3 linked regions of the Pelodiscus sinensis genome follow. The protein of the gene in region 1 purifies or fractionates together with the protein of each later gene. This does not show direct contact. Links are inferred from orthologs where the notes say so. Each region holds a gene or a part of one and is shown in the gene's direction. Other genes may lie near its edges.

Region 1 (7,221 bases):
CTGCTCTACCCAAGGCGTCCCGCAACAAAAGCCTGGTCTGCTGGGGGGGGCGCACTAGCTGCGCCCCTTCCCCCCCCCAGCAGACCAGGGACACCCAAGCAAAGCCGCCCAGGTGGCGGGACCCCCGCTGCCTGGGCGGCTTTGCTCCTGTCCCCCTGGTCTGCTTTGGGGGGGGGTCTAGCGGCTTTGCTGGACCCCCCCAGCAGACCAGGGGGACAGGAGCAAAACCGCCTAGGTGGCGGGGGTCCCAGGTGCCGGCTTTGCTCGGGTGTCCCTGGTCTGCTGCGGGGGTCCAGCGGCTTTGCTGGACCCCCCCCCAGCAGACCGGGGAGACCGGGAGAAGCTTTTCTCGCCCCGGAGGACACGGGTGGCGACCTACCGCCCGTGAGCTCCGGGGTGAGAAAAGCCCCGTTCATAAGTGCGGATCCAACATAAGTCGGATCCGCGTAAGTCGGGGACTGCCTGTAGTGCTTTTCATCAGTAAATCTCAAAGCACCCCCGTTCTTTGTGTTTATCCTTAAAACACCCCTGTGAAGTAAGGAAATGTTATCTTCATTTTACAGATGCATTAGTGAGAAGCTAGAGCCTAGTTCCTCAGAAGTATTGAAATCAATGGAAGTTAGAAGCCTTAATATCTTTAAAGATCTTGCTGTAAGTGACGTGCCCAAGGTCACACAGGTAGTTTTGTGGTGGAACAGGGAATTTAACCTAGGTGTCCCAATTCCTAGGTTAGTGCCATAACTAAGGCTACAATTTTTTCACAGAGGTCTCAGAAGTCAGGAAATCAGTGACCTCTACAACTTTAGCCCATAGTGGTAGGGAGCTGCATGGTCCCCCTGAGATGGCTGGGAACTCAGGGATGTCCCATGATGACTGGGAGTTATGGAGTACACCTGCTTCCAGTGAACACCCTGCAGCTCCTGGCTGCTGCAGGTGAGGGAGGGACATTGGAGCTTTAAGCAGGCGCCTGCAAATGCCTAGCCACTGTGACTGGTGTAGGAACCCCTCCGGTCAGCTCTCCATTTTATCAGTTATTTTTAGTAAAACCTATTGGCAGGTCATGGGCTTCCATGATTTTTTATTTATTGACCTGACCTGTCCATGACTTGTACTAAAAATACTGGAGAAAAATCTTAGCCTTTGTTATAACAAAAAAGTTCATAAGCATGTGTCTCATTATCAAGTCCCACTGGCCAATATTCTAAAGTGCACTAGAGATAGGGATTTTCCTATGAGACAGATCCCCACACCCTTATTAAAACATGACAAGAAAGCAGTACAGAGGGCCCAGGGTGGAGGTTCAGGGTCTTTTTTCAATCATTTGATTTAAGGGCCAATGGGTAACTGGGAATACCGAACTGCTCTGTAGATCTCTTGCTTGCTATCCCCACCCGCCGGATAATGTGGGGGCATTGCATGCTTTTTTGTTGTATGCCTTTCAAACTGATGGTGTAGCATTTCTTCTGTACACAGTAGATAGGTGCTATTAGTCATGAAGTATTTTTGGGTAGTTGCTCATTAGAACCTTTTTAATTTACAGAAAATTGTTATAATTATTATTCTACTTGAAAATGTGATATTACAAAGGTTCTCGTTAATTATCTTATCTTATTGTTTTATTAATAAACAGATTCGTTTATTTCTATTTTTTGTGCAGGTGCTAAAAGGAAACAGAGTAATAAATTAATCTTTCCATGCTTCCCCATTTTTTTTATGGACTTATTTTTCTCACCATCCATTCAAATGGATCTTGTAGCTCTTTATTACTTTCTGACATCTTCTTGCAGTTTTTCAGTTGTTTCCCAAGTCTTTCCAGGGAACGGTCACAAAAAATTATGACTCTGACATGACTGATCACCACAGTGTGCCAACCATCACTTTGTTCACTCTGCTTCAATCTCACGTTCCTTTCTCCTTCGCTTTATCTGGCTTTTCTATTTAGATTGCAAGAACTTCTAGGCAGCCACTGCATATTGCCTCTGCCCTGCTTCCCACAATGCCCTGCCCTCATTTTTCTTCTCACCCCCTCTCCACTCCTTGCATCCTCCCATTTATATAGTGTCTAGCACAGCAGTGTCCTGAACTTGGTTGGTCCCATGGGATTACCCTAATACAAATAATTAAAAATGATGATCTTCTGTGGAGTCCAGTTGTATGTACACACTAGCCTGGTCATTCGAAAAGTGTTGAATACCCTGAACCCTCCCACTGATTTCAAAAGGCAGGAAGACGAGGGCGAGGGTCATATGGTAGTGACTGTGCAAAATATAAAAGTGAAGTTTTACCCTTTCTTCAACCCCTTTACACAAACAATGCAAACAATTTCCTTCTGGGTCTGTAAATGTGGGAAGCTTCCTGCGTCCTGCCCACTACCTAAATTTCCTATTCTTTTCTGACTAATCCCCATCAAGTGCAGGAAATAATTCAGCTAGCACCATCTAAGTGTCTAGTTCATTTTAAAAAAAACCTCACATCTAGCTCCAGATTCATAGCAATCAGAGCTTCTGTTGACTCACGACCCAAATTACGTGAAAATTAGAGAGATACTGCATGTAAGTTAAACAGAGCCCTCTTATTATCTAACTCGTTGTCACTGTTAGAAAAGAACTTTTAATTGATTAATTTAAAGGACTCATCCATGGGATTTTCTTTAATTTAGTAAGCAGCATTCTGAATTAGTGACGCGGAAACATGAGACATTTCAAAACATTTTAATTTTGCCACTGTATTTGCCAAACAGTAGATCACCGAGACAAAAAATAGAAAGCAGTCTGGGGCCAATAACAAAGTCCAATCAATGCAACCCCATCAGTCCAGCTCTGCTTTATGCTTCAGGTACATTTATATGAAGTGGTGTAATTTTCCTCATGCTTACATGGGTTATAACTCAACTGGCTTCAATAAGGATACTCCTGATTTACACCAGTGTAGCAGGGAATAAGAACTATCAAGTGGATTTTATAATCTTCTCTGAATCTTAGATTATTGACCAGATTCTTCCTCCTGGAGGTCTGAATGGAGTGTTTTTTGGGGGGGGCCTGGTTAAGCAATGATTTTAGAGCACTTGGGGATTCATACTGAATGCCTCCTGTAAGATGTTGAGCACCCGCAATTGATGCTCAGCACTAGACATGTGAAAGACTAGTCGACTACCCAATAAGCAAATGCTATCAGAAAGAGGCAGCAAGTGGGGGGGGGGGGGGAAGAAGGAGGTACTTCAAAGCGACAGTGCTGTGTGGACCCTGGGGTCAGCTGGGGGACTCCCCACTGACCCCAGGCTTCACGCATCTCTGCCTCTTTGAAATGCCACAGGGAGCCTGACTCGTAGCATTTGAAAGTGGCAGCGCCACACAGAGCCCAGGGTCAGTGGGGAGTCTGGGCTCTATGTGGTGCTTTTGCCTTTAAAGTGTAGCAACAGCTCTAGGGCTGGTTTTACACTTCAAAGGCAGAGATGCCCTATCAGCTAGTCTATGCAAAATACATCAACTATTCAATTAGTCAAATACCCACAATTTAACATCCCTACTCAGCACCTGGTATGATTATGCACTTGAGTCTGGATCCTGCAAAAACCTCTGGGCATGCTGAACTTTAAGCACTGTAAGCAGCCCCTCCAGAAGGCTGTGGTGATCTGTTTGGGTGCAGTTACCAGGGTCTTTGTGTACTAAGTCAAAACTGAGATCAGGGCCATAATTAGACCCTGGATCTTATTCTCAGATATTGTAACTGTGGGACAGGTATTCATAGAAACCAGAGGTAGAGGCAAGTGATTGGGAAACTCCCCTTTAGAAAGTCTGAAATCACCATCATGTCTCTAATATTTGCAGTGTTGTTCTACCGATAGTGGTGTTGGGCATTAGGGAGACAGAGTGGGTCTCCACAGGGAATAATCATGTTTTTAGAGCCATATTGACGCGGCTCCGTCTGGCAGCTTCATTTGAAACTACCTTTCCGGGAAGCAATGGGTGGGGCAGCACGCTGGGGGTGATTTTGGCCAGCTGCGTGTACGGCAAGAGCGGAGGGTCTAGCCGGGAGGCAGGGGGGAGCGGGCTGACTGAGGAGGAGTTGGGGCTTGTGACTTGTTTTGACACTGATCAAGGGGAAACAGAGAGCGGGCTGGGGAAAGTCTCTGCGGGAGAGCTCGGGTTGGGGGGCGCTCTGGGGAAGGGCGGAGCTAACAGAGGGTGGGAAGGAGAGAGACGGGAGGCTGCTCGCCACTTTCAGCCCTGAGCCTGGCTTGAGACCGCCTCGTTCATTCAATGAAAGCCAGAAGGGGAGGGAAACGCGAGGCTTCAGCTGATCACCTTCTGCACCTCCAAGGCAGGAGCAGCAGCAGCAGAGTCCCGCTTCACCCTCCCCCCCCCCTTTAACTGAGCAATCAAAGAAACTACTGGAAAAAATACCCCCCCCCCCCTAACCCACACATGCCGCGGGGAAGGCTGCGTGTCCTGCGAGGGCAGCCCGCGCCTGGAGCCGCGTGAGGCTGCAGCCATTCGCCATTGCCAAGCCCAGTCTGGAGCCAGCCCGACGCAAAAGCCTGCGGAGATTCCGGCGTGCGGTCCCGGCGGGGCGCTGCGTTTCAATGGTCCGAGCCCTGGCGAAGGGAGGGAGAAGCACCCGGATGCCCCTCTGCTCCCTGCTCTGGCTCTTTTTGTTCCTCAAGGTAAGAGAGAGAGAGAGAGACAGACAGCCCGGGCATCTGCCTGGCCCCGCGCCGCCTGCCACTGCCCTCCCTTCGCAGGGCGGCTAGTGGGAGCTAGGGCTGGGCGGGTTCGCTGATTGTTGTCTCCTGCCTGCGTGGGGCTTCGTGGGTGTGATTGTTGGGGTGGTTTTTTTTTTTTTTAAATGTGGATTTGGCGCATTTCTCCCCCTCCCGCCGCTCCCTTTGTGCTCTTCCACCAGGGCTGATAGGCACTGGCGGCCCGGGCTGGTTTGGTGGAATATGCTCCCTAAGGCAGAAGGAGGTCGCTTCCACTTGGTGGGGGGGGGGGAGTGGTCCTCTCTCGGCTTCTTGTGTGTCCCCGCAGCCCAGGGCGAGCAGGCATATGCAGCGGGCTTTGTGTTCCTCCGCGGAAACGTGTTGCCTTGAATGTGACTTACGACCCAGCGCTGCTGCTGTTATTGTTTGATCGCATGGTGCCTCTTGCCAGCGTGTTCTGGCTCCTGCGTCCTCTGGGCAGAGAGAGGAACCAAAAGGAGAGACCCACATTCAAAGTGACCAGCCGTGCTTGAGCTCACAGCCACCCCTCTTGGTCTTTCCCTTGCTCTGCTACGTGCGACCATCAGCCCCGGAGCACCTGCACATTCCCTTTGGAGATGCAGAACCTGGTCCTCAGCTGGTGACTATCCAGCTCCGTTCCAATGAGCTCAATTGAGCGATGTCAGTTAACATCTGGCTTTTTATGTGTCAATTAATCATGGCACGCATCAGAAATGTGTGCCATACACATGGGCCGCCAGGCTGCAGTAGCCACTGTAGCTTTATTTTATACTGTTCTGCCAGGGTACCGTTATTTAATTACTGGGATACATGCTGAAAGGTTGATAATATGATATTCATTCTGAGAGTGATTTGAAAATGTAATTGCACAGTGATTAAATTCCATGATGCAGTGAGTTTGCTTAGTTCTTTCCTTGCAACTGATTTTTTTTTTATCAGCAAACTGTCTAGGAGTGAAATGAGGTAAACTGGAGCTATCCCTTCAGCACCCTATTACTCTGTTTCTGCAAGATGCTGAAGCGTGGGGTAATTGAGAAGCTCTTCAATAAACATGCTCAGCACCAGTGACAGGATCGGCCCAATAAATAAGAGAACTTCAGAAATGTGTAGCCTGGATACGAAAATATTCTGTCACTAATATATCGGTCTTCTTCATGTGTTTAGTTTATTATATTGTGATAATATGTTAAAATGGAAAAAATTTAACCACAGCTTTGCTTGGCATTACCTTCAGATTGTTGTTGTTCTCTGCTCAAGCTCCAAATGTCTTCCTGGGATAAATTTTTCAAAGTTCTTCTTAATGCTGTAAGCTAGGTTACACATGATATTTTTATCTTGAAAGAGCAAAAGCATCAGCATTTCCTTAAACCTATTTAATATGCTTCATGTAACTTCACTAATAGGAAATATACATACTGCACAGGCATATGCCATTGTCTGTAATTATCATGGCACTGAAATTACAGTATTCTGCACATTTTACAAATCCAACACACAGTTTTGGATAATTGTCAATCGCTGCCTGAAAGAACTCCCCAGCTAAGGGCCTGATCCTACAGTTCCTCTCTCCTCTGAGTAATCCTTACTGGTGCTAGTAGTCTCTCAGCAATCAATAGGATTACTGTAATATTTTGCAGGATCTGGTCCTAGAACAGCAGTGCTGTCTGGTAAAGACTAACATTGCATTTGCAAAATTATTTAAGAGATGCTTCCACTGCATCTGTTCAAACTATATTTGTTGGAAGCTCCCCCTCACTTTCACAAGTGCTGAAACACATTTGTTTGAGCTGCAAGTGTGAATAGAAAACAGGCTTTTGTTTCAAAGAGTTTGATCACAGATCCTTTAAGGAGGAAACTGTTACAGGGCATTGACAGTCTTGTGGAGAACTGAAAGATCTGCACTTCATTTATATTCTAGCTTGGGTCCCAATTCAGCAAAGCACTTCAGCATGTGTATTAGTGTTTTGATGGCTATGAGGGTGTCATGCTCTGAAGTGTTTTGCCTAAGCAAGGCCTCTTGCAAATGTGCCGAAAGTTTGCTGCATGGAATATACTGTACCTGTAAAATAAATTCTAAGAAATGTGGGCTAGAAAAAGTTCAGGAAGCTAAAGCCTCAGGATTTCATTTCATCCCAGGAGAAATTTATCTGGCTCAGAATCAGTGATTATCAATAGTACCACTGACTGCTCAAGAAAGACCCAAGACTGGAATTTCAAGAGATACTTCAGAATTGTGTGGTAACTTGGCACTGAAATATTAGGTAAAGCTGCAGATCAGGATTGTGGAACATTGGAAGCACGTGAATATGATCTCAGGACTGCCAGCTTACTCTTATTAATCCATCTGAATGGTCATGAAGTGTTATGATGAGAGAGCTTCATCTGGAATTTGTAGGCTGGAACAAAAAGGGATTTGAAAGGACAGGACTCAAATGCATTGGAAGAGTTATCGGAGGGAGCTTGCATAGAGCCTGATACCTCTGGGTACATTTACACTACAA
Region 2 (8,407 bases), on another chromosome or scaffold:
GGCTAAATGCTCTTTGCAGTTATCTTGCCAAACTAATACCATTTATTTCAATTTACACCTAACAGAGAGAGCAGAATTTGGCCCAACGGTCAAATTAGTATAAATCAAGAACAGCTCATGGCAAACCATGGAGATATACTTGGTTGCAAAGTTGTGCCTCAGATGTTTGAAATAATGTTAACTTGCTAAATTTTACATTTAAAATGTTGGTATTAAATTGACTTTTTAACGAATAACCTTTTTTTACTGTTTTGCCTACTGACAGATTTTGTATAAAGATCAATCAGGTGGACGCATGAAAGGCAAGCTTTACAGAAGACAAGAGGAGATTGTTAACTTTCTTGTGGAAAATGCAGCCAAACATGTATTGTACAAATATAACTATGAGAAGTCACTGTCAGAAAAGCTTGGGTTTATATCAGTTCCTGTAACCAAAGTACTCCTGGAGATAATGTTTGGCTTTAAAAAATTAAAAGGCAGTGGCATAAGATTATCATCACAGATAGACTGGGCCGAAGTATATCAACAGGTACATGCAAAAAGACCTGCTAAACCTAAAAAACCTGGTTTAAAGAGTGGTGACAAAAAAATCACTCATTCTAAACCAAAAATTATTACTGGCAAAGTAAAATTAATTAAGAAACCCACTGAACAAATCACTTCTCTGCCCAAAATAACTGAAATAGTTCCTCTAAAATTCCCTGATGATTTCCCACAAAGTAGAGAGGATTCACAAGGTCAAGATTCTGTTGAATCTTTAAGACAAAGGTCATCTTCTAGCAAGTCTATTATTCCTGCTGATAGTCAGAGAAAATTGTCTGTTGTTTTGCTGGACACTGAAGGCCAGAATTCTACAGAATCTCCTAGGCAATCCTTGTCTTCTCAAAGGGCTAGCATCACAAGTGAGAGCAACATAAAATCACCAACTGCTTTACCAGACACTGAAGTCCAGAATTCTGTAGAACGTCTATGGGAAGCCTCATCTTCTAGAAGGGCTAGTGTCACCAGGGAGAGCAGCCGAAAATCGTCAACTGTTTTACTGGAATCTGAAGGACAGAATTCTGTAGAAACTGTATGGCAAGCCTCATCTTCTCGAAGGACTAGCATAACTGAAGGGAGCAACAGAAAATCGACTATTTTACCAGACACTGAAGGCCAGAATTCTGTAGAGTCTCCAAAGCAATCCTCATTGTCTCAAAGGACTAGCATCACGGGAGAGAGCAGCCAAAAATCATCAACTGTTCTCCCCAAAATTTGAAATCCTATCAGTTGAAAATTAAACAAATATATTTGTAGTTTATTGTCAAATTTCTTCTGCTTATTTACATGTATTACTAACACAATACCTATTTTAGGTCCCTACTCCACAAATTACATGTCAGGCAGTTATACATTTCCAAAAATTCTTTGCAACCTACCCTTTCTTTTCACTACTTGTAGCTGTCCTTGAGTGATTAGTTCCTATTACAATTATTACTATCGGTTATTATTTGTAGTGCTGCTGTGCTTAGAGCCGCCACTCAGGGATCCAATATGCCAAACAAAGTGAAATAATAAAATAACTCAATCTGGAGAGGCATAATTACAAACAGTTTATCAATGTAGGAGAAAAGAAGTGGCAAAATAGAATAGTTGTAATGAGCCATAGAAGAGTTGGGGGGAGGATAATTTCTTTCTCTCCACTGTAATGTCATTGATTTCAGTGGAAAAACTCCTTATTTACACGCACTGATCTCTACAAGCCTTGGGACTGGTCCTGTGCAAAGTCAGACTCAGGCCCTGAATGTCTTGCCTCAAATTAGCAGCAATCTGAAGACTAGAATGCAATGTTTGGACATACATCCTCCATACCCAAGCACTTATATATGATGAGTCTAGCTAAATCAGTACAGTCTGGTGTATAGATTAAACCTAAGTGCTGCCTGCCATTTTAGCTTTGTTCTCAATTACTGCTGTTGTCATGCACACTAAACATAACGCTCAAAGCTTGTTTCACAAAAAAACCCTCAAGTAAAGTACAGTTGCCGTGTGTCAGAATACTCTTCTTAAGATACACCCCCTTAATCGCTTGGATACCAGTCCTGCAGCTCTAATCTACAACTGATTCCTACTGAAAAGTTCTTTAGGGCCTGATTTTCATGGATGCTTAGCTGTGTTCTCTGCAGTACAGCTTCACAAGTGATCAATCAGCCCTGCCCAGTAAGTGAGCTCTGTGCACTAGGCCCTGAGCTTCTGATTAATCACATGTGAAGCTGTGCTGCAGTGAAGCTTAGCAGGAGCACTGGTGCTCAGTAGCCATGTGAGTAGGAATCTGAATGGTTAATGGGTTAACCAGTAAGCATCACGCTTTCCAGCTAATGCTTCCCAGTTATGGTTAATTAGTAGGAGCTGGAGTAGCGCCTTGCTCAGTGTGGGCAAGCAGTTGCTCAAGCTCAGAAGGGCCCACTGTGCTGCAGGTAAGGGCACTCTAGACCTGCTGGAGCAGTCCCCACCCATCATGAGCTCAGCCTGCCCAGAACAGTGCACCATGGGCAGGGGCATTCCAGCCCAGTCAGAGTAGCCCCCACTTGCAGCAGGCCTGGCCAGAGCAACCCCACTCCCAACCCTATTGAAGGGGTTAACCAGTTAAACAGAACATAACATAACAGGAATTTACATCCCTAGTTGTGAGTACTTAGTATCTCTAAAAATCAAGACCACAACCTAAGGACTGTAAGATTAAGGCTACATCTACACTGCAGGCTTCTTGTGCAAGAACTGTTTTGTGAAAGGTCTTGCACAAGAGCATGTCCACACGACCATGGGCTTTTGAGCAAGAGATGTGCTTTTGCACAAGAGCATCCATGGCAGTGTGGACGCTGTCTTGCGCAAGTAAGCTCTGATGGCCATTTTTAGCCATAGCGGTTTCTTGTGCAAGAAATCCCTGTTGCCCCTCCACACTGCCTTCTTGCGCAAGAGGTCTTATTCCTCATGGGGAGAGGAATAACTCTTGTGCAAGAAGCCTTCTTTTCTGGTGCTTTAATATAAATTTACTTGCACAAGAACACGCATGCAGTGTGGATGCTCAGCAAGTTTTTGCGCAAGAATGGCCGTCCTTGCGCAAAAAGCTTGCAGTGTAGATGTAGCCTAAGTGAGTAAGAGCTAAAGACATTCTAGCTGTTGGCTGAATTGTGGTTAGTTTCACTGATTTCGCTTCATGTGCATGAAGAGAAATTATAATTCTGCCCTCCAAGAGGCACATCTCTATTGCACCCCATCATATAATTTCAAGGGAGAGTTTATCTGCAGCTCACAGCAGCCTGCTAAATCCAACAATAGCTCTTATAGCAATAACGTGGTTGTTAATTGCCATAGTTGTTTGGCACTGATGGGGTTTTTTGTTGGCAACTGTTCTAACCCAATTATGTTTCTAAAGTACAACTGAAAAGCACTGTAAAAAGCACCACATAAACTGCACTAAATGCACTGGGAATTAGTGACCTCCCAGAAAGACAAACAGGTGCCAGCTAAAGCCCCATATTATTGATTTTACATGGCTAACATAGCAACCACAGACATCTGTTTTGTCCTGTTTAAAAAGCAGTAACAAAAGCGATCTGTTGTCTTAGAAGAAGAGAAGAGCCTTCAAGAAGAAATAAAAATAAGGTATTCAAATGTCAAACTGCACCATATTCATTTGCATTCTACTGGATCAGATACAATCAACAAGCAATAGAAAAGGATTTTCTGATTAACAAAAATGGACATAGTGCAGAATGTGGGGGTACCATTGTGGTTCAGGGAGATTTAGGACTGAAGTTTAATTTAATCCAGTCTATTTAAAAAGGCATGAACAAAAAGTGTGGGACACTGCTCTACAAGTATAATAGGTTAATATAGGCAAGTCAAATAACAAATCTTTGAGTGAATGATTGAGTTTCATCATGTAGGGGGGAAGCAAAGGGCTTGGTAGATTCAGAGCTGGTGGAAAATGGAGTCTAATGAGTATCTCATGATGTTCTCACTAGCCCAGAGTGGTGATGTGCTACCCAAACTATCCAAGATAATTCAAAGTAGAGTCCCACTTTTATGCTGTTGCATCTTTGTTGCTTGGCGACTTTGTTCTGACCCAAGAAAATTATATTGCTTTCATAAGAGCATTACATTGGGTAGCTTGGCATCCTCACACCATGCTTCCAGTCATGAATGTAGTATATTATACAGGCCCTATATCCAATGTCAAATGCATACTTAAGACAGTCCACGTAGTTCTCTGAGGCTACGTCTACATTGGCATGATCTTGCGCAAATACTCTTTAACGTGAGAGTTCTTGCGTTAAAGTATTTGCACAAGAGAGCATCTACACTGGCATGTGCCTTTGCGCAAGAGCATCCGTGCCAGTGTAGACACTCTCTTGTACATGAAAGCTCCAATGGCCATTTTAACCATCGGGCTTTCTTGCGCAAGAAATTCATATTGCCTGTCTACACTGGCCTCTTGTGCAAGAACAGTTGCACAACAGGGCTTACTCCTGAGCAGGAGCATCATAGTTCTTCTGCAAGAAGCACTGATTTCACACATTAGAACATCAGTGTTCTTGCGCAAGAACTCGTGGCCAGTGTAGACAGGCAACATATTTTCATGCCAATGTAGACACAGCCTCAGGCTGTGTCTAGACTGGCCAGTTTTTTCGGAAAATCAGCCACTTTTCCGGAAAAACTTGCCAACTGTCTACACTGGCTGCTTGAATTTCCGCAAAAGCAGGGACGAGCTCATGTAAGATTGTCAGTGTTCTTGCGGAAATAGTATGCTGCTCTCATTCAGGCAAAAGTCCTTTTGCGCAAAAGGGCCAGTGTAAACAGCTCAGCTTTGTTTTCCGCATAAAAGCCCCGATTGCGAAAAAGGCAATTGGGGCTTTTTTGTGGAATAGCACGTCTAGATTAGCACGGACACTTTTCCGCAAAAAGTGCTTTTGCGGAAAAGCGTCTGTGCCAATCTAGACGCTCTGTTCCGAAAATGCTTTTAACGGAAAACTTTTCCATTAAAAGCATTTCCGGAAAATCATGCCAATCTAGACGCAACCTCAGTGTCATCTCCTACCCTGTTACTCCTGTAGATAAAGTGACGAGTAACACTATTTGTGACTTAAAATTAAACCAACCCTTAGCAGAACATGTTTATTATCCTCAAAAAAAAGGAGGGATTTTTTTAGTTTGGTGTTGGGGGCTTTGTTTGAAAACTTTTTAAGTTTTTCCATATTGAGGGCTTAATTTTGTTTTTTTGGAAAGGCAGAAATTCTCAGTGGATTAAAAAAAATAGATCAAGTCTGCGCATGGTGTTGCATCACTGCATATTGACGTCCCACTGCAATGGAAGGCAGTCAGGGCAGGCTGAAGCATGTTGTGCTTTGCTTGATGTGTGGGTGCCAGAAGGAGCTAGCTGAGCGCAGGGCTGATGGATGCAGCTGGGCCTCTTGCCGCTGCCAGTCCCTACAGCAGTGACTGTCCATGAGGCAGCCCCGCACATCGAAGGCCCAACCACCTGCTAGTTGCCACCTGCCCTACACGCGCCCCACTGACTAATGCCCTTGGTCTCCGAATTTTAGTTTCCCTTTGGGTCAGTTCCCTGCGCGGTGCCACGCCGCCTCTTCTGATTGGTTGCCTGGGCATCCTCCGCTGCCCAATGGGCTCCCCCTTCGTGTACGCTGTGTGCGGCCCGAGCAGGTGGCGCCCCAATGCGGCGGCGAAGTCGGAAGAGAGGCGGGCGGGGATTGGCAGGCTGCGGCGCTGGCATCGTGCGATTGGCCAAGATGCGGAAGCGGCAAGCGGGCTGCCGGTCGGTTGCGGAAGCGGCTGGGGCGGTTAGTTGCGCGCGCGCGGGCGGGCGGGCGCCGGGCTGAGGAGCGATGCGGCGCCGCTGTCTCCTGCTGCTCCTGGCGCTGCTGTGCCAGTCGGGCCGCGGCAAGGAGCCGGTGCCGGGCGCTGTGACCTGCGGGTCGGTGCTGAAGCTGCTGAACACCCGGCACAACGTGCGGCTGCACTCGCACGAGGTCAAGTACGGATCAGGTGAGGGCCGGGGGGGGGGGGGCAGGTAGGCCGGACTGAGGAAGGTGGGAGCGCGGGAGAGCTGGGAGGCGATGTCTGGAGGGGGGGGTTGCTCTGTGACGACAGCGGGAGGGGGGTTTGCTCTGTGGCGACAGCGGGGGGGGGGGGTTGCTCTGTGGCGACAGCGGGAGGGGGGGTTGCTCTGTGGCGACAGCGGGAGGGGGGGTTGCTCTGTGACGACAGCGGGAGGGGGGGTTGCTCTGTGGCGACAGCGGGAGGGGGGGTTGCTCTGTGGCGACAGCGGGAGGGGGGGTTGCTCTGTGGCGACAGCGGGAGGGGGGGTTGCTCTGTGGCGACAGCGGGAGGGGGGGTTGCTCTGTGGCGACAGCGGGAGGGGGGGTTGCTCTGTGACGACAGCGGGAGGGGGGTTTGCTCTGTGACGACAGCGGGAGGGGGGGTTTGCTCTGTGGCGACAGCGGGGGGGGGGGTTTGCTCTGTGGCGACAGCGGGGGGGGGGGTTTGCTCTGTGGCGACAGCGGGAGGGGGGGTTTGCTCTGTGACGACAGCGGGAAGGGGGGTTGGCTCTGTGACGACAGCGGGAGGGGGGGTTGGCTCTGTGACGACAGCGGGAGGGGGGGTTGGCTCTGTGACGACAGCGGGAGGGGGGTGACGTGACCCCGGGCGCTGCACTCAGCTGCCCTGGGGAGCCCGGCTCGGGCACTGCCTGCGGGACTGGTGGGCTGGCAGCTCCCTGCAGCGGGCGGGGAAGGCAGCTGCTGCGGGGCGCGGCTGGAGCCCAGAGGGGAGGCGCTGCCCGTCTCGACGAGGGTAGCAACGGTGCCAGTGCGACTGCCTGAGCCGGGGGGGGGGGGGGGGGGGCTGCCCTCATCTGTAAGCACGAGGCTTTCGCGGGGCGGGGAGGGTGGCTCCCGAAGAAACCTGGCGCTGTTAGGCGAGCGCCGCTGAGTGGGCTCCCGCGAGGGCGAAGGAAGAGGGTGAAAGGAAGGGCAGCTCCCACGGTTAGTGCCTCTGCCGCAGAAGCCCTGTAGGAGGGAGAGAAAATGCAAAACTGGCCTTTTAGTTATCCCCGGATTTCATTCTCCATACAGAGGGCATGTCAGCAGCCAAGTCCTCACATACCGCAGGCTTGTCACTGAGCTTCACATCTTCCTTAGCAGTAAGTCTGCAGGACTGAGCCATTCAGAACAGTTCGGGGACGTCCACAAGGACGTCTGGAGCCTTCATTAAAACTGCTTGATTTAATGAACACGCTTCTGTTTCTTCAGAACCCCATAGTCTATGGTGCAGAGCACCTGCCTCTCCCGCTGAAATCAGTGCAGGGAATGGTGAGGCACAACACTAGTGTTTCCTGTAAACTGTGCATTTGGGGTCCCAAGACAGATGCAGATATTGCCCAGCTTGATTAATGGCTACGGTTTGTTTTTCCACTGGTGGTGCATATTTGCACAGGCCTTGGTACACACATAGAAATATATTTCGCACATGGATTTAAAAGATTAGAGAAAATATTGCACAGAACTTTTGAAAATCATGGCATCCCTGGATAATATTCTTATGTATGTTAGTTTCTCTTTGCTCCTCAGATGTTCAGAATTTTTTTTTTCTGGTTTTAGATCACAGGTGAGATTTAGAGATGTTAGTGTATAGTCATTTAAATGATTAACCAATAAGACTGATAAGCTTGTTCTTATAGATTAATCTAAATAACTACATGCACACTTCTTCATTGCTACCTCTATCAAAGGCAGTAGGGGAAGGCAGGTGAGAGCCAGTTCTCTGGGGGAGTCAGCTTACAAGCCGGCTCCCCATGAGCGCTAGATCTCACGGAGGTACCTCTCCATGACCCTGCACTGCTGCCTCTCTGTTAGCAGTGAGGAGGGTGAGAGCTGGCTTCCCACTTGTATCCACTCTCACAGAATTGCCTGCCCTCCCCCACACACACTGCTGCCTCTCTGTGGTTATGTCTAGACTGCATCCCTCTGTCTGCGGAGGGATGCAGATTAGGCAGGTTGACATTGCAAATGAGGCAGGGATTTAAATATCCCGTGTCTAATCTGCATAAAAATGGCCACCGTGTTTTGCCAACTCAGCACTTTGTCAACTCAGCACTTTGTCGGCAAAAAGCTGCAGTCTAGAAAGGGATCTGTCAAGAAAGAAAGCCTTTTTCGATAGATCCCTTATGCCTCCTGCAAGTTTATGCTGCACTTTAAAGTGCTACACACTCCTTACAGGGTGGGAGAAAACATCACGCACGCTCCCTCACCCCCAAGCCCTGAATGGCCTGGGGGCGGGAGGAGCACGAAAAGTTTCCTCTGCCCTCCCCCCCACCCCACGAGGAGCACACAGCACTTCAAAGTGCCAT
Region 3 (8,132 bases), on another chromosome or scaffold:
TTAATAAGGGTGAATGTAGTTTTTCACCCTCTAGATTAAATGGCTGACCTGTGTTCAAATCATGCCCCCTAAAGGGCATTTCACAGAACAGTATTAGGGTGTACACAGTTAACCAATGAAAACCTTCATGATTACATGCAGAACCTCCCCTCCTTCTCCTACCCCTCTCCCCCCCCCCCCCCGTATCAAGGGCTTAAATGCCAGCTCCCCATGAGCACTGGCTGGCACTTACCCGCCCTCTCTGCTGCCTCTGATGCAGAAGCAACAGCACAAGGGAGGGGGAGTAGGCATGTGTGCCGGACCCTGCCTCTGCTCCCCCCCCGCCCCCCGCTCATGCTGCTGCCTCTGTATCAGAAGCAGCAACAAGAGGGGTCAGGCGGCTCCATGGGAGCTGGCTCCCCACATGTGCTGGTAGATGTGTAACTGCTGAAATTTACAGCAGTTACACATTTACTTAAATAGATGCATTTTTACATCTCTAAACAGTATAGCCCTCTTTTTGCACAAATCTGTTTTGCAGTCTTGACTATTGCAAGAGTTACCAAAGGCCTGCTATTCAATAGCATCTGGGCTTTGTGGATGAGCACAAGACCCAAGGAGCTGGTGCAAATGACTAATTGATATTTACCTCCGGGCTAGGAAGTTTGCTGTTTAAGCTCATTTGATTTCAGGACTGTCATTTTTTTTTATATGTGCACTCCTTAGCATGTCTCTTTACACCACATGGGTTTGCCATACGAAAGCATTATAATTTCTGAAGACCTCTGGCTTTTCCAGCACAGAGAAAAGGAAGTGAAATCGGGTTCCTCCCATAAAAATAAGCTTTCCTTTAGACCAGGTTTTCCCAACCTATGGGTCGCCTACATTTCAAAAGGGTCGCCAAGTGTCTCCTCAGGTGGCTCTGCCCCCTCTGCTCCTCCCGTTTTTGAATTGCCGTGGGTCACCAAATCTTCCTGAATTGTCAAAACAGGTCCCCATCTGGAAAAGTTTGGGAACCGCTGCTCTAGACCCTTCCATGAGGGCCACAATCAACAAATACTGAAAGTGTTTAGTTTGTCAAAAAGCATAGAAAAAGTTCTTTAACAATGACATGCAAAGAGCAAATATTGGACTTGTCCTTTTGGGTGGAGGTGGGTCATTTCTCTACAAAAAAATGCAGTCCAAACTGTGTTCAAAGGAAGACAAAAGCCTTCCTCTGCTTTCCCCCATGGCCCATTACAAATTCAGATCCTGCCTAATCTTAGAATGACTAGAAAATGACATTGCAAGAGGCAAGAAAAAGAGGAGTGGATTTTTAATCAGACTGTTTAAAAGTCCTTTCTGGTAAGACAAACTAACTAACATGTTAAAGAATGATTTTGCTGAGTGGCCCCACCCTTTGTGGAGAAACAAATTTTGAGACCTCTCTTTCCCCCCTTCTCCCTACAAGTCAGCCAGAAAAGCCAGGGGGGAAATAGTTGACAATCCTGATAAAGTGAAAAAGAAAAAAATGTAGATGTTCACGTCTATTTTACACATCATACAGGAGGAAAAAAGGGCTAGGCTAATTTAATTTGTCTGCAGGTCACCTTTACGGGAGTCTCCTTTGTGCTCACCTGCCCATGTTGTGTGAAAAAACAATAGTGTATTAGGAACAAATCAGACTTGGGATTTCTCTGCTTTTAAGGGTATGACTGTATTTCATATTCTTTATGGAAATATAGAATATGCTTTTTACAAAATAATTCTTGCAAGGTATCATTGGAAAGCTTGTAATCTGCAAGCTGTGTTTATTCTATTTGTGTGCATGTATCATTCCTGTATTTGAAGTTAACATATGACATGTATACCTGTTCGCTAATCTAGACATGCTAGGCGAAGGTCATTTGAAGTACACAAGGAACTTAATGACCTGGTACTCAGGGCATTGATCTCTAAATAATCTGGGTTTTCCTGTTTGCTGGGACATGGTTGACCCAGCCAAGACAAGTGGTCAGGTCATCTGATACAGGAACCCATTTTGGATGCTGTACTTTTTCATAGAAAATGAAAAGGGCTGATCTGAACACAAGGGATTCCTGCCTTGAAAATATCGAGATATAGGTAGGAAACCAAACAACAGAGACAGCCACAAGACTTGACACCCCTGTTTAGCATCTCAGAGGTCTGCTGCAACCACTTAGAACTGGACATTAAGAAGGCTCAAACTCAAGTTGAAGCTACCCATCTTGTGAGGAAAGATGATTAGAACTACTGTTAGGGTCAGAACTGCAAGTAACCAGTTTCTTTGAGTATTAGAACCACACTTAGCTGGTGTGTTTTATGTTGCTTTGTAACTTAGTTTGATCTGTCTGCTATTACTTGCAACCACTTAAATCTTCCTTTTTATACTTAATAAAATCATTTATTAATTCCCTGGTGTAAATCATTGTTACTGAGGGGTAGGGATGTTAAAATGTTTATTTTTGTAAACATGTAATCATTGAAATTTTCAACGGTTACACATTTACATGCAAGGGGGACAGGCAGCAGCAGTATGAGGGAGCCGACAGCTCTATGGGAGCCAGTGCTCATGGGAGCTGGCTTTTAAGCCATCTCCCCGGGGGGAAGGGATAAAGGGGGGCTGCATGTTACTGTGCATGTTAACTGTACACATTAAACATCCCTGCTGGGGGGAGAGAGCATAATAGCTGTGCATCTTTCTCTTTCATTGATAAAGGGGGTTAAAAATTTAAGAGCTTACTCTGTATAAAACTTTATACAAAGCAATACTGATTTACGTGGGTTTCTAGTCCCAATGGGGCTGTGCACCTTGGTGCTCTGTCCCCTCCCAGAGGTGAGCTAAGTGTCTGTGTGGCTCTGTTGAGAACTGTAACCCTAACTCTGTGCCACTGCCACAGAGACCAGACGGCCTGGCACAGTAAGACGGGGCAGGCTCAGTGGTATTTCAGCACATCAAGTGACAGGCTCAAGTGGATTTCTGTGACCAAACTCATCACAGAAGATTTAAACAAGATCCTGGGAGAAAGGGAGTATGTCAAATGTTTTACTCTAGAAAGATGTCCTAGTTGGTTATACCAACCGTACGCAATTCTGCTGAACAGCATTTGATCTCCACTTGAAAAGGCAAGGTAGCATTGCAGCTCTGAAGGGCAGGGCTGGTATTAACCCCAGTCAAGCAGAAAGCTAACCACGTGAATGGTAGCGTGACCTGCATACACAGACAGCAAAACGATCGCTGCCCCGGGGAGCGTGAGAAAAAGCTGCTGGGATGGGGCTGTGCAACGTTTCGGACCCAATGGCTAGGCGTAGGCGGCCGAAGGTGCTAACCCTACGGCCCTGTGCCGTGGCCCACAAGTGTGAGCCCCGAGAAGGATCACAGGGTTGTCTCTCGTGCCTTGCTCCGCTGCTGCTCCAGCTCCTCGTCGGAGGCACAGCCAGACAGCACCTCGGCCCGCTCCAGGCGCTGCTCCGCCGTCCGCTCCGCCAGGCTGTCGAAGACCTCGAAGTAGAGCCAAGCCAAGTCCCTGGCCAGCTGCAGCTTTCCGCAGGCGATGTGGCGCCACATGGGCCAGGTGAGGCGCGGGTAGCAACCCTCGGCAGCCCGCGCCCGGGCGTAAGCGGCCATCTTGCGGAGGTAGTGCGGGCCCAGCTTGGCCGGGGGCAGGAGCTGCAGTGCCCCCACCAGGAAGGGCTCCGTCCTCACCCAGAGCTGCACCGCGGCCGGCTCCATGGCAACGCGCGCCATGGCAACCTGCGGAGCGCACACACTCAGCACACGGCGCCCAAGCGGGCCACGCGCCCCGCCCCCCCAGCAAGAACCCCTCCCCCCGCACTGAGGCAGCGCCCCGCCCCCCCAGCAAGAACCCCTCCCCCTGCACTGAGGCAGCGCCCCGCCCCCCCAGCAAGAACCCCTCCCTCTGCACTGAGGAAGCGCCCCGCCCCCCAGGCGAGAGCCCCTCCCCCTGCACTGAGGCAGCGCCCCGCCCCCCCAGCAAGAACCCCTCCCCCTGCACTGAGGCAGCGCCCCGCCCCCCCCAGCAAGAACCCCTCCCCCTGCACTGAGGCAGCGCCCCGCCCCCCAGGCGAGAGCCCCTCCCCCTGCACTGAGGCAGCGCCCCGCCCCCCCAGGCGAGAGCCCCTCCCCCTGCACTGAGGCAGCGCCCCGCCCCCAGGCGAGAGCCCCTCCCCCTGCACTGAGGCAGCGCCCGCCCCCCCCAGGCGAGAGCCCCTCCCCCTGCACTGAGGCAGCGCCCCGCCCCCCCAGGCGAGAGCCCCTCCCCCTGCACTGAGGCAGCGCCCCGCCCCCCAGGCGAGAGCCCCTCCCCCTGCACTGAGGCAGCGCCCCGCCCCCCAGGCGAGAGCCCCTCCCCCTGCACTGAGGCAGCGCCCCGCCCCCCAGGCGAGAGCCCCTCCCCCTGCACTGAGGCAGCGCCCCGCCCCCAGGCGACAGCCCCTCCCCCTGCACTGAGGCAGCGCCCCGCCCCCCAGGCGAGAGCCCCTCCCCCTGCACTGAGGCAGCGCCCCGCCCCCAGGCGAGAGCCCCTCCCCCTGCACTGAGGCAGCGCCCCGCCCCCAGGCGAGAGCCCCTCCCCCTGCACTGAGGCAGCGCCCCGCCCCCAGGCGAGAGCCCCGCGGCCCCAGCTCTAGGCGAAGGCCCCGCTCACCGGCCCCGCGCCTCGCCGCGTTTGAATCCCAGCTCTCCCCTCAGCAGCGCCTAGCAACCGCACGTGCGCACTGCGGCTGCGACCAGCGAGACGTTAGCTAGACCTGCCCCGCCCCGCCGCTCCCTCACCACAGCGACAGGGGTCAGCACGCGACTGTTGTTCTGCGTGAGCAGGCCACTGTCGCAGTGGTACAGCGCTCCTCCGCCCCCGCTGTGATTGGCCGGGAGGGGCGCGCGCGGCCGGGGATTGGCTAGCCCTCAGCCGGGCACTCTCCGGGTGAGGGATCCCTGGGAGAGGATGTCCTTCCTGGGGTTGTGATTGGCCCCAGGTATCGGTGACGCAGATAGCAGCGATTGGTCAGGAGGCGCAGTGCTGATGTAGTGGGCTGTGATTGGCCCGCCCGGCCGGGCGGTTGGTGAAGTGTGCGGCTGTGATTGGCGAGGTGTGACCGGGGCCGCGCGCTGTGCCGCGCGCCCATTGGCCCGCTCTCTTCGCCGGGCTCCGTTTCATATCTATGGTTACCGGCGCGCCGGGCTCCGGGAGCCGGCCCGAGACCCCCCGCGCGCAGGCCATGGCCCCCCGCTCCCTCGGCCGCCTCTGCCTGCTGCTGCTCTACCTGCTGGGCGAGGCCAGCGCCGGGTGAGTGAGCGCGGGCGGGGCCGTCCCCCGGCCCGCCCCTCCCCCACCGGGCCCCGAGCAGCGCCCCTCCCCCACCGGGCCCCGAGCAGCGCCCCGCCCCCACCGGGCCCCCAGCAGCGCCCCTCCCCCACCGGGCCCCGAGCAGCGCCCCTCCCCCACCGGGCCCCCGCAGGCCCCCAGCAGCGCCCCGCCCCTCCCCCACCGGGCCCCGAGCAGCGCCCCTCCCCCACCGGGCCCCCAGCAGCGCCCCGCCCCTCCCCCACCGGGCCCCCAGCAGCGCCCCGCCCCTCCCCCACCGGGCCCTGAGCAGCGCCCCGCCCCCACCGGGCCCCCAGCAGCGCCCCGCCCCCACCGGGCCCCCAGCAGCGCCCCGCCCCCACCGGGCCCCGAGCAGCGCTCCGTCCCGCCCCCACCGGGCCCCGAGCAGCGCTCCGTCCCGCCCCCACCGGGCCCCCAGCAGCGCCCCGTCCCTCCCCCACCGGGCCCCCAGCAGCGCCCCGTCCCTCCCCCACCGGGCCCCCAGCAGCGCCCCGCCCCCACCGGGCCCCCAGCAGCGCCCCGCCCCCACCGGGCCCCCAGCCCTTCCCCCACCGGGCCCCCAGCAGCGCCCCGCCCCTCCCCCACCGGGCCCCCAGCCCTTCCCCCACCGGGCCCCCAGCAGCGCCCCGCCCCTCCCCCACCGGGCCCCCACAGGCCCCCAGCCGCGCCCAGCCCCTCCCCCACCCGGCCCCCAGCAGCGCCCCGCCCCAACCGCTCCCCCAGCCCCTCCCCCACCCGGCCCCCAGCAGCGCCCCGCCCCAACCGCTCCCCCAGCCCCTCCCCCACCCGGCCCCCAGCAAAAAGAGGGTGCAAGTGTAGACATACCCACACACACACGGACACCCTCCACACTGTTTTGGGCCAGTCACTGAATACGTCTGTGCTTCAACTTCTCCACTAAAATAGTTGTCATGGCACTGATTGAAACTCGTAGGTGTTCCAGGAGGGTGCCTTCACCCTACTGAGCTGTTCAGTTGCAGTAGCAGTGGTGGTGTTCTGTGGTTGTCTCGTTAGAAGTGGTGCATTTGTGGCAGAGGCCATGACTAGATGTTTACTTTGCTCTCTATTTCTCAGGAGGGATTTCTATAAGATTCTGGGGGTGTCCCGCAGTGCATCAGTAAAAGACATTAAAAAGGCCTATCGGAAACTGGCTTTGCAGCTTCATCCGGACCGCAACCCTGACGATCCGCGAGCGCAAGAAAAGTTCCAGGATCTGGGAGCTGCCTATGAGGTCAGTGAGTTAATAGAGTATCTGCTCTGAGTACTAACAAACATGGTTTTCCTGTCTGGGTGGAGTCTCTTCCTCCATCTCCTCATTTGCAGGAGGGTGCAACCGGTTTTCTAGTGATGGCCTTGGAGCTGTTGTTAATCAGGGAGAGTCAGCAATGATTACATTTCAGTGTTGGTAATGAATTGCTGCAACAAAAGTGAAAAGTCAGACAGGTTTATTGACTGGAAATGGCAGAGGAGTGATAGCGAAAAATTGTGAAGAGCCTGCCCTGTGTTAACCTGATTGCTGTCACTCTATTTAAGGTTTCTAGTAGAGGCCCCGGGCCAGCTTGTAGATCCCAATTATCTCATTTTTGGAGTTAAGTTTCCCCTGCAACATGCAAGGGAGGGTGTGGAATGCTTCCTTTTAATGGAGTTTGAAGATGCCTAGTTTGGATTTGCGCTAGCTATTGCAGTAGTTGGGGCCAAAGGCAGTTTGATTACTGTGGATGCTCAAGATGTAGCCACCTCTGTCGTAGCACATTTTCTTCTCTGGAAAACAAAAGCTTATTCTTTCAAAGCACCAAAACTTGATTGACTGCTCCACTTCAGCCACAAGATATAGGCTTGATTTGGGCTTCATAACTGGCTGAAATTCCATGACCTGTGCAACGAAGGTCAGACTAGATCAGGGATGGGAAATCACAAACAGCCCCCATTTAAGCAGTGCGCTCTCACTGGTGCAGAACTTCAACAGCCATCTCTCATACTTTTGGCTCAGCAGATCAGTACATCTAATTGTGACACCTTGCCTGCGTTTGGGACGTTATTCTGCCTTCATATGGCCAAGACCCCTGCTCTCCAGCTCGCTCTCTTTCCCAGAAGTGAGCGCCAATGTTTGCACCATGGCAGGTTGATCATCCTCTTTGGTGGCTTCTCTTTGGTGCTCAAACTTGAGATGATGGAGGCAGGGTGAAAGGTTATAAAAGGCTCTCTGGACAAATGCTCTTTCTGTATTACTGAGATTGGGGCAAGGAGCAGGTGCTGCTTACTGGGTAACGGGATTTCTACATCCCTAGGGGGAGTAGCCGTGTGATTCACAAAGAAGAGCGACACACTTGTGTGACAGACTGCCGAAAGGACTGTGTTTTTGAGCTCTTACTCCGCTGCTAATCCTTTTTCCATTAGCCCACCAAGAGTAATTGAAACAGCGTTGAATGATAGCGCGTCTGGGTGGTTTGCTGTTTCGATGAGATGCATGTGATATGGTGACAAGAGACTTCCAAAGAGCCAATTTCTGCAAAATAAAGATTCTTGTTAAACTGACAACCTTGGACTTGGTGCTGATTATGGAGTGGTGACCAGCACCGCCATAGTAAAAGTGATCTGGATCTCTCCACTGCCTCTTATTCCTCATTTGGGGTAAAGGCCGGGTTCCTCTCAAAGGCTTGTTTAAATAACCTGACTCACTAGTGCTTGTCCCACATCCTCTGCCCTCTCAGGTGCTCTCAGACGAGGAGAAGAGAAAGCAGTATGATACCTATGGCGAGGAGGGATTGAAGGATGGTCACCAGGGTTCCCATGGAGACATCTTCTCAC

What was found.
Region 2: the proteins of PTPRO (region 1) and SDF2L1 purify together in Homo sapiens (affinity purification with mass spectrometry; 3 studies listed by BioGRID and IntAct, with this or other methods). This does not show direct contact. The link is inferred for Pelodiscus sinensis from reciprocal best matches to the Homo sapiens genes PTPRO and SDF2L1.
Region 3: the proteins of PTPRO (region 1) and DNAJB11 purify together in Homo sapiens (affinity purification with mass spectrometry; 3 studies listed by BioGRID and IntAct, with this or other methods). This does not show direct contact. The link is inferred for Pelodiscus sinensis from reciprocal best matches to the Homo sapiens genes PTPRO and DNAJB11.

The regions. Positions count from the first base shown.
Region 1 is NC_134711.1:111,930,780-111,938,000, forward strand, and holds the start of PTPRO (receptor-type tyrosine-protein phosphatase O), read left to right. Parts: upstream 1-4,032; 5' UTR 4,033-4,582; coding exon 4,583-4,663; intron 4,664-7,221.
Region 2 is NC_134725.1:16,832,696-16,841,102, forward strand, and holds the start of SDF2L1 (stromal cell-derived factor 2-like protein 1), read left to right. Parts: upstream 1-5,383; 5' UTR 5,384-5,885; coding exon 5,886-6,045; intron 6,046-8,407. Other genes in the region: CCDC116 (coiled-coil domain-containing protein 116), read left to right, coding at 266-1,258.
Region 3 is NC_134720.1:2,942,496-2,950,627, forward strand, and holds the start of DNAJB11 (dnaJ homolog subfamily B member 11), read left to right. Parts: upstream 1-5,108; 5' UTR 5,109-5,160; coding exon 5,161-5,285; intron 5,286-6,398; coding exon 6,399-6,555; intron 6,556-8,035; coding exon 8,036-8,132. Other genes in the region: TBCCD1 (TBCC domain-containing protein 1), read right to left, coding at 3,377-3,727. UniProt on the Homo sapiens protein: As a co-chaperone for HSPA5 it is required for proper folding, trafficking or degradation of proteins.